Coturnix japonica: one gene and its partner. The protein of the gene in region 2 purifies or fractionates together with the protein of the main gene of each other region. This does not show direct contact. Links are inferred from orthologs where the notes say so. Each region holds a gene or a part of one and is shown on either strand. Other genes may lie near its edges.

Evidence for each region.
Region 1: the proteins of PSMA4 (region 2) and PSME4 purify together in Homo sapiens (affinity purification with mass spectrometry; 4 studies listed by BioGRID and IntAct, with this or other methods). This does not show direct contact. The link is inferred for Coturnix japonica from reciprocal best matches to the Homo sapiens genes PSMA4 and PSME4.

The regions. Positions count from the first base shown.
Region 1 is NC_029518.1:4,768,890-4,773,131, reverse strand, and holds the start of PSME4 (proteasome activator complex subunit 4), read left to right. Parts: upstream 1-1,424; 5' UTR 1,425-1,472; coding exon 1,473-1,648; intron 1,649-4,242. UniProt on the Homo sapiens protein: Associated component of the proteasome that specifically recognizes acetylated histones and promotes ATP- and ubiquitin-independent degradation of core histones during spermatogenesis and DNA damage response.
Region 2 is NC_029525.1:2,859,656-2,863,970, reverse strand, and holds the start of PSMA4 (proteasome subunit alpha type-4), read left to right. Parts: upstream 1-1,484; 5' UTR 1,485-1,602; intron 1,603-1,817; 5' UTR 1,818-1,842; coding exon 1,843-1,845; intron 1,846-2,009; coding exon 2,010-2,052; intron 2,053-2,074; exon of another isoform or gene 2,075-2,166; intron 2,167-2,748; coding exon 2,749-2,911; intron 2,912-4,145; coding exon 4,146-4,223; intron 4,224-4,315. Other genes in the region: HYKK (hydroxylysine kinase), read left to right, coding at 620-803, 915-1,378. UniProt on the Homo sapiens protein: Component of the 20S core proteasome complex involved in the proteolytic degradation of most intracellular proteins. This complex plays numerous essential roles within the cell by associating with different regulatory particles.

The DNA.
Region 1 (4,242 bases), on a different chromosome or scaffold from region 2:
AGGAGAAAGTGACAGCACTTGTTGTGACTATTTGGTGATGGCTGTAAGTAGAGGTAGTGTTCAAACTGGTGCATGGGTCACATGCTGGATCATTTCCTGCTGCACTGGAGTGGCTATAAATCCAGCGGGTGGTACAAAATGTGTGTAGGATCAGAGAAACATGGAACATCTTGAGTAGGAAGGGAGTCATAAGGATCATCACACCCAGCTCCTGGCCCACGTAGTGACAATATGGTACAAATGCGCTCCCCAGGAAAACGCTATGAGAACACCTGAGCATCACGGCTTTATTGCACACAGATGTTTGGTTGCATTTCTTCTCTTTGTGGTATTTTTCAGCGTTTAGTTAACTGTTTCTTCTTTTATTAACAGGGCTAGTTTGAATGTAAAGACCAGAAAATAGGATTTGCCCTTGTCAGTTGCTTTATATCTAATGAGCTTGCAGCTGTTCAATGGTCCCGATGTAATTCTTGAGGGGAAATTCAATTAACAATTATATTTAGGAGACAGCTGGAGATAACAGCTATCAGCACTGCTTGTTATCACACATTCATCGCAGCTTTATCCAGCACCCACAGAGGCCAACGGCAGGACCAGGCACTGCCAAGCTCTGTCTCACTGACAAGCGTTATTATTTGCTATAAGCTTCTTAGGCAGCCACACAATCTGCTATCAGACCCCGTGACTAATTAGTCCCATCACAAACTCCATACCCGGTTTCACATCAGGTCTTTGGGGCAAGGAAAAGAGGGGATGGCCTCACGTTGTGCCAGGGGAGGTTCATGTTGGCTGTTAGAACAATTCCTTCTCCACAGAGCGGTGATGCAGTGGCACAGCTGCACAGGAGTGGTGGGGTCACCGTCCATGGAGGTGTCCCAGAGCCGTGGGGATGTGGCACTGAGGGACGTGGGCAGTGGGCACGGTGGGGTGGGCTGGGGTCGGACTGGGTGACCTTAAGAAGTCTTTCCAACATCCCCAATTCAGCGTTCCTGTGACTGACGTTCAGGTCAGTCGTTGCGGGCGGTGGAAGAACGGCGTTATGCCTCGTCTGTGGGGATCCCTGCTGCTTTACAGCAGAGCTCTGTAATGAACCGCAAAACCACACACAGTGAATTCTGAACTCGAGTGGGAGCGAGGGCCTTTCCCCAGCGCCGCTGCACAGCCGCTACGCCCGGCACGCACAAGTTGCGGGCGCTGCCCGGAGCCCGCAGCCCGTCACGGGGCGGCTGTCGCGAAATGGCGGCACCCCACACCGCAGCCGCGGGGCGCTAACGGGCCCCGGCCCCGACCGGAGGAAGCGCTCCGCCGAGCGGGAACCGCCCTCAGCCCCCGCCTTCCGCCGGAAGCGAGCGGGGCGGGGCGGGCGGTCGTTGGCCGTTTGCTGGCTCGCAGTGGGTTCCGCACGGCGCGGTGCTGCCGGAGCCCGGAGGGGGGTGGGGGCGAGCGGGCGGGCGGGCAGCGCGGGGCCGGCCATGGCGCTACCGCCGCCGCAGAAGGAAATCGTCTACAACAAACTACTGCCCTACGGAGAGCGCCTGGAGGCCGAGGCGGCCCGCTTCCTCGCGCAGATCAAAGGCAACCTGGCGCGGGCCGTGCAGCTGCAGGAGCTGTGGCCCGGGGGGCTGTTCTGGACCAGGAAACTCTCCACGTGAGTGCTCGGCGCGGGGCCGCGGGGGGCGCGGGCGGCCTGGGGCGGAGGGACAAAGCTGGGCAACGGAACCGTGCGAGCGCTGCGGATCGGAACGGGATTTTCTTAGCCGGTTATTTTGTCCGAAACCGCCTTTGTTTGGTTGTGTGCTCCCTGCTTGTCACCTGCCTGACCTCTCGCCTTTCCGAGCGGGCGGTGCAAGGCGTTATCTCTGTGAGTTGTGCCGTGGCTCAGCGCTGTGTGAGCAGTGTCCTGACTTCACTGGTAAACGTATTTCCGTAATTTGGCGTGTTTGTGCCAGCAATGACGAGCTGTGTCCTCACAGAGTCCTAAAGCCTCTCGTGGAATTCTCATTTCTGCCCTTTTCCTTTTAATGGTCTTGTTGATAAATAGGGGTTCTCCATTGCACATTCAGATCTGTTCGGTGCGTACATACTGAACTCATTCTGTTTGCCAGGAGTCATTCTTAGATAGAGCTACGTCGGTGGTTTCAAAATGACTCACGTGCTTTCGCTATGTGACAGTTTAGCCTCCTTGGAAGCAGCTCAGCCCTGCTTTGTGACCCCCCCCTGCCCCCATCGGGGAGCTCCTCCTGCTTTCGTTTGCCTCGTTGAAGTTGTACATACGAACACAGCTGAAGTGAGCTGCTGTTATGAAGATAAAGGTCTACATGAGGCACCTGAGCTAAAAGTGGCACGTAAATCCTTACAAACTGTGTGGCGTTGTGTTAGAATTACCCCACGTCCTGTCATTGCCGTGACCGTTAGCAGTTTAAGCTTTAGGGCACTGATTTTAACCTGCCGTGAGCTGCCACTGTGTGAATCACAAGGAACGTCAGGAGGCTCTAATTTGTGGTTTCCCACCTGCTCTTTGAAGTTTGAATTCATTGTGTGTTGTGCAACTTGTCTGATGCCTCTTAGTCCAAAGATTTCTTTCTGGCCCGTTCTGTGCCTTGGAGCATGTGTGGTCACAGGCAGGGAAGGAAACAGTGGCACTGGTTTAAAAATAAGCCTGTACCGAACATGAGAGGTGTTTTGCTCCTCAGCTGAACTTGACAGAGTTGTTCTGCGGGCTTAAGCTCTAAGCTTAGGCCTAGATGAAACATTTCCCAACTATATCGTGTTCTGAGGTTAGTACACTAGTGTTGTTGTGCCTTCTCAGGTGCTCTGTAACTTCCTACAGCTGGGAATTAAGTCTGGTACAAAGAGTGAAAGTGAACCTCCAGTCTTTTTTGGATTAAGAATTTGAGATCAGTGTCTGTTTTCTTACTTTGGGATGACAGCTGACCCCAAGGTCTCATAGTTCTTATACTCTCAGCAGTTGAGAGCATGACTTGCACATTGTTATCTTAAAAGGAGCTTTCTTGTCTTGCTGATGTCATGAACTGAGATGGGGGGGGGGGGGAAGAGCAAAAATGGCCCTTATCAGATAAAATGCCTGTAATCTAAAATCTAATTTGCATAATTTGCATTTTATGTGTAACATCGAGCCATGTAAATGAATCCTTTGGTGGGATGTGTATGCAGAGTGTGTAGCAAGACAGCTTTGCCTTGTGAAGACAGCTACTTAAGTAACTTATGACTCAATGAGACTCCTTGTGCAAGGGAAAGCGCTTGCCTCAAAGGCTGGCACTCAAATGTAATCATTACCCCGAGACTCCCCAAACTTTGGCTGGTAAAATCTGTATCTTATAAAACACTAATCCTGTTGTGAAAGCAGAAAACCAAATGTCAGCTGTTGTATAACTTGCTACAGTGTCCCAAAAAAAAAAAAAAACCCAAAAAAAACCCAACAGAGCACGTTGCATCAAAATCATTTGTTTAAATGGACTTGCATCATACTTTTGTTGTTTCATAGGTCAAAAGTAGATTGCTATTTCAATTTTATTCGCTTCTTTATGTCTAGTGTTGAAACTGTAGGTTTTCTTTTAGGGCATAGCCTGTAGATGTGCATGTGTGTGCAGTATGAGCAATTAAGCACATTCAGTTGACTTTGCAGCCTGAAAAGCACACAAGTATTGTCCTGTGCTTTCTGCTCCAGTAGGTGAGGGTGGATTTTTTTAGAGCTGAGGGTCAGGGCTTCTGTTCCTGGCTTTGGCATTCTGTGTGTTTGTCTGTTACAAGATGACATTTAGGTGCGAGGTATGAGAAAATGTATCTCAGCTGCTTTGGGGATGGCGGCCTCTCAGTGGGACCTGCTGAAGTATTTTAATTGCTGTCACAATGTAATTATTTTTTCCCCTAGCTGTTTCTCTTCCATCATTAACAGAAAAATATAAGCCTTCCTTTTGGGTATGTAGTGGTATGTGTACACTGTATGTGCACATAGCAACTGATTTGAGTGGTTTCAGTGAGCGTGAGTTATTGTTTTCAATGCAGTTTGCCAAATCCTGAGTTTTAGGCCAATCATAATGCTGTCCTATGTGTTAGAAAGTGAAAGCAGATAGCTAGGAATTCAAGAGAGCTCTATTCAGCTTCATAAGTGAAGGTAATTTTAACTCCAGTAGGGCAGCCAACTTCTAGGATAATTTAGGATGTCCACTTGATACGAGAGTTCATATCCTAAAAATAGGCCTATTGTAGTTGTGGAGCGAG
Region 2 (4,315 bases):
ATTTTCATCAGAACAAAGCTCCATCCAGCAGCTCTGCCAAGCACTTCTGTCTTAACAACACTGTATGTGCCAGATGGTTCTGTGGCTCGACTCTTTAAACGCACAGAGTGCATCTGTGCCAGTTTTTGTCTCTTCTGCTCCAGCAGCTTCTATAGCACCAGCTGCAGAATCCAGCTGTGTGACTGCAGCTTTGGCAGGGCCTCCATGCAACAGCATCCCTGTCACACTGCAGGAAGTCACCATTGATTTGAAGCGATTTGGAGACAAAGGGTTTAGGATAATCTATACGGGAAGAATGGAGGAAAACCATTCAGGTTTTATGTAGGTATTGATAGGCTTATAATAGTCTTATTGTTCAATGGAACAGGTTGCCCAAGGAGGCTGTGGATCCCCATCCCTGCAGGATTCAAGGCCAGGCTGGATGTGGCTCTGGGCAGCCTGAGCTGCTGGTTGGTGACCCTGCACACAGCAGGGGGTTGGAACCAGATGGTCATTGTGCTCCTTTTCAACCCAGGCCATTCTGTGATTCTATGATGAAATAATCCTTCAGACTCTACTTTTACTTGTCGGTATTCAGCACAGATTTTAACTCATGGCCTGTTTTGTTCTGTTCCCGCAGAAGTTCCATCACCCATCAGTAGCAAGTCTGCATCGAGCTCAGTTCATCTGGAACCTGGCTAACGTCCCCCTGCTGGATCAGTACGTGGGCGCCTTGGGCCAGAACCAGCACCGGGCTGTTGTGGAATGGGTCATCCAGCAGTTCAGGGAGGAAGTCACGCCCAAGATAAGCAGCTTTCGAGCTTGTGAGTGTTTTATTCTCAATCACGTCACAGTTTGTTCCAGGAGATCGGGGTCGCAGCCAAGGAAACACCTTAGTTATTAGTTATTAAGTACCGTTTGTCGCTCCCGTGTAGGTATCAACCACGGGGACCTCAACGACCACAACATCCTGGTGGTTCCCTGCTCTCCGCACGGGGCGACCCCGCGGTACCGCGTGTCGGGCGTGCTGGACTTCAGCGACATGAGCTACGGCTGTTACGTGTTCGAGTTGGCCATCGCCATCATGTACATGATGATCGAGAGCTCCGAGCCGCTCCGTGTGGGCGGCCACATCCTGGCGGGCTTCGAGAGCGTGCAGCCGCTGTCGGCCGCGGAGCGGGCCGCGCTCTTCATGCTCGTGTGCGGCCGCTTCGCGCAGTCGCTCGTCATGGCGGCACACACGGCGCTGCTGTACCCGGAGAACGCCGAGTACCTGATGGTCACGGCCAGGACGGGCTGGAAGCACCTGACGGACATGTGTGCGCGGGGCCGGGAGGCGGTGGAGAAGGTGTGGTTCGATACGGCCGCGCTGTACGCGACGAGAGGTACCGCCCCGTGAGGCGGGGCTGCAATAAACATGGCGGCGCTGCCATAAACATGGCGGAGCCGCGCTCCTTCCGCACAGCGGCGCCATTGGGACCGCGAGGTCACGTGGGGGTGACGCACTGCGCAGGCGCGGCCGCCATTTCCGACGCGCGGTGCCGGTGCCGAGGTTGTGCAGCGCCCGGTGTAACCGCCCGTTGTTCCTCAGCGCCGCTTCGGCACAGCGCGATACCGGCCGCTGTGAGTGAGGGGGGGGAGGGAGCGGGAGGGCGGGTGAGAGCAGGGGCCGAGGGGCGGGCGGTGCGGCCTTGGTGCCCCCTTCGGCTGTGTGAGGATGACTCCGCACTCCGGGCCCGGGGCGCTCGGTGCTGCAGGCGGGGATGGGGCGGGTCGCTCTGTGCTCGGGGCCGTGTGGGATCACCCGGCTCACCTTAACGCGCTGTGCTGTTTTGCAGGCCCGCTCCGCGCCGCTCCGGCACCATGGTGAGTGTGTGTGTGTGAGTGTGTGCGAGGGCCGCGGGTGGGGGGGCGGTACCGACATTGCACCTCAGCACGGGGCTGTTGTGGGGCCGCCTCGGAGCTGCTCCTGTTGGGTGCGGTGTTGGGGAGGACGGTGACGGGCCTTAACGAGCTGTTGCTTCTTGCAGTCTCGAAGATATGACTCCAGAACCACCATATTTTCTCCGGAAGGTACTTTGTAACCCTACGCTTCTAATTAAACCGTCTGCCTGCCGTTCCTCCTCTCAGACGTAACACGTAAATCCCAGGGCCGGTTGGTTGCTGGCAGTGTGTGTCCATCCCCGTGTGAGTTGCACAGACCGTATTCACCTGTCAGAATAGCCCTGTGTGCACACCACAGCCACACAGCGAAGGCTTCCCAGTCCTCATCTAATCCAGGCATCGGTGTGATCACACCCCATTCACACCTGTGGATTTGCACCACATTCCACTGCTCAAAGAGTTCCTTAATAAGTCACTGCCCTTCACCTTTCCTTGGAGCATGGATGGATTTTGTTACTGTTCTGTTACTGTTAGTGCTGCTGTGATTTGTTACAAGTCATGTTTTTTGTCTTAAGAGACAACCTGTCCAGTATCAATGATTCCATTGTTTTTTTTAAAGCCCATTTTGACTTTCTTCCAAAGTACATCTACTCTTTAAACTGTAATTCTTCTCTGCACTAATTACACCCATGATTACCTTATCAAGATAGGGCACTTTTCTGTTTCTGCACTTGTTTCTAAAAACTCATTTGCTGGCCCCAGCCCAAGGAACGAGTCCTAAACTGTAAAATGGGCATCTGTGTAACTCCTGCAAATTCACCTTTCCTTATATATGGTCTCATTCAGTGCTGCCTTATCAGTGTTGTGATGTAACTCGTTTCCTAGGCCGCTTGTACCAGGTGGAATATGCCATGGAGGCAATAGGGCACGCAGGTACTTGCTTGGGCATCCTGGCCAACGACGGCGTCCTGCTGGCTGCAGAGAGGCGCAACATTCATAAGCTGCTCGATGAAGTTTTCTTCTCAGAAAAAATCTACAAACTGAACGAGTAAGTTGCAGTGATGTCTGTCTGGCTGCTGGTGCTACCTGTGCCTAAGTACTGTTGTTACTCAAGCATTTTAGCACTGAACCTGGATTTGTTTTGTTTGGAGGGTTTGTATGAGTTTTATGCCGTGTTCCAGGCATCCAGGGCTGTTGTATTGTTATTTGCTTCAGTGATTTTTCTGAAGAAGCATCATGTTTTTATTTCCGAAGAGAACTTCTTATATGCAATAACCTGTTGGTACTTACCCATACCGGGTAATGATATTACATCAATATTAAATTGGCAGTTCTTGGTTTACAGAATAACAAGAGGAAGGAAATAGAGAATGCACAAATCCAAGCACTGTATCAGCTCAGCATTCCCTTTTAAGTCTCTTTTTTTCTGTTGTGATTCAGAGACTGAAACAAATTGGATAAAACCTGCTTTGGCTTATTTTGCTGCAGCTGTAGCAGAGATGCTTATCTCACTGCTCTGAGCTTCTTAGCTTCTCCAGAAGTTCAGTGTTACTCTGTCTTGCCTGTAGGGGAGGTGGAGCTTCAGCCTTGCTGTAAGGTGCATTGTGAAACACGAGCAGTAGGTTTTCATCTGTCAGTCTCCCATGCTGTGTTATCCTGAAGGCAGCTGGAGCTGGATTTTCAAGGAGGTGATGTAAGAAGTGCACTGGAGTAGCTGCCCAGGCCAGCTGTTCTGAGGAACTGCTAAGATAACAACTGCCAGTTATGGTCTGTGTACTGAAAGCTCTGTGGCAATATGAGGTTTGGCAAAGATCTGCTAAATTAAGAGCTAATAAAACAATTACAACAAAGATGAATTTTCAGCTAAAGCAGTTACTTTTCTAATGGCTGGTATCACTAAATTATGTTCATATGAATGCAGTCAGCAGATTGCACTGAGGGTCCATATGGGTTCTGATATGGTCAGCGCCTGGCCTCTATGTGGGTCCTGCTGTGTAGCCAGTGCCTCTTGTGAGTGTCAGCACTGTTAATCATTTTGGTATGGTCCTCAGCTGCATGCCAACGATGTGCTGACCTGCTTATTTCCCACTATCTGCCTCTGCTCTTGCAATATGGTTGTGTCAGACTTAGATTGTACTCTAGAAGCAGGATCAGTCTGTTCTACCCAGCAGCTGTGCAGTTTTGATGATAGAAGCCCAGCAGTAGGCATTCTGTTTGAAGTGCTGTATGAAGATGTGACTGTTTCTTGGAGACTGGTAGGAATCCGTATGTTCCTTTTGCAGGGATATGGCTTGCAGCGTTGCAGGAATAACTTCAGATGCCAACGTTCTAACAAATGAGCTGAGACTGATTGCACAGAGGTAGGTTGGCTGGTAGTTATGGGGGTTTGCTTAATTCTGAGTTGGATTCAGTCTATGTATTAAATCAGTACACACTCAGAACAAGTAGATTT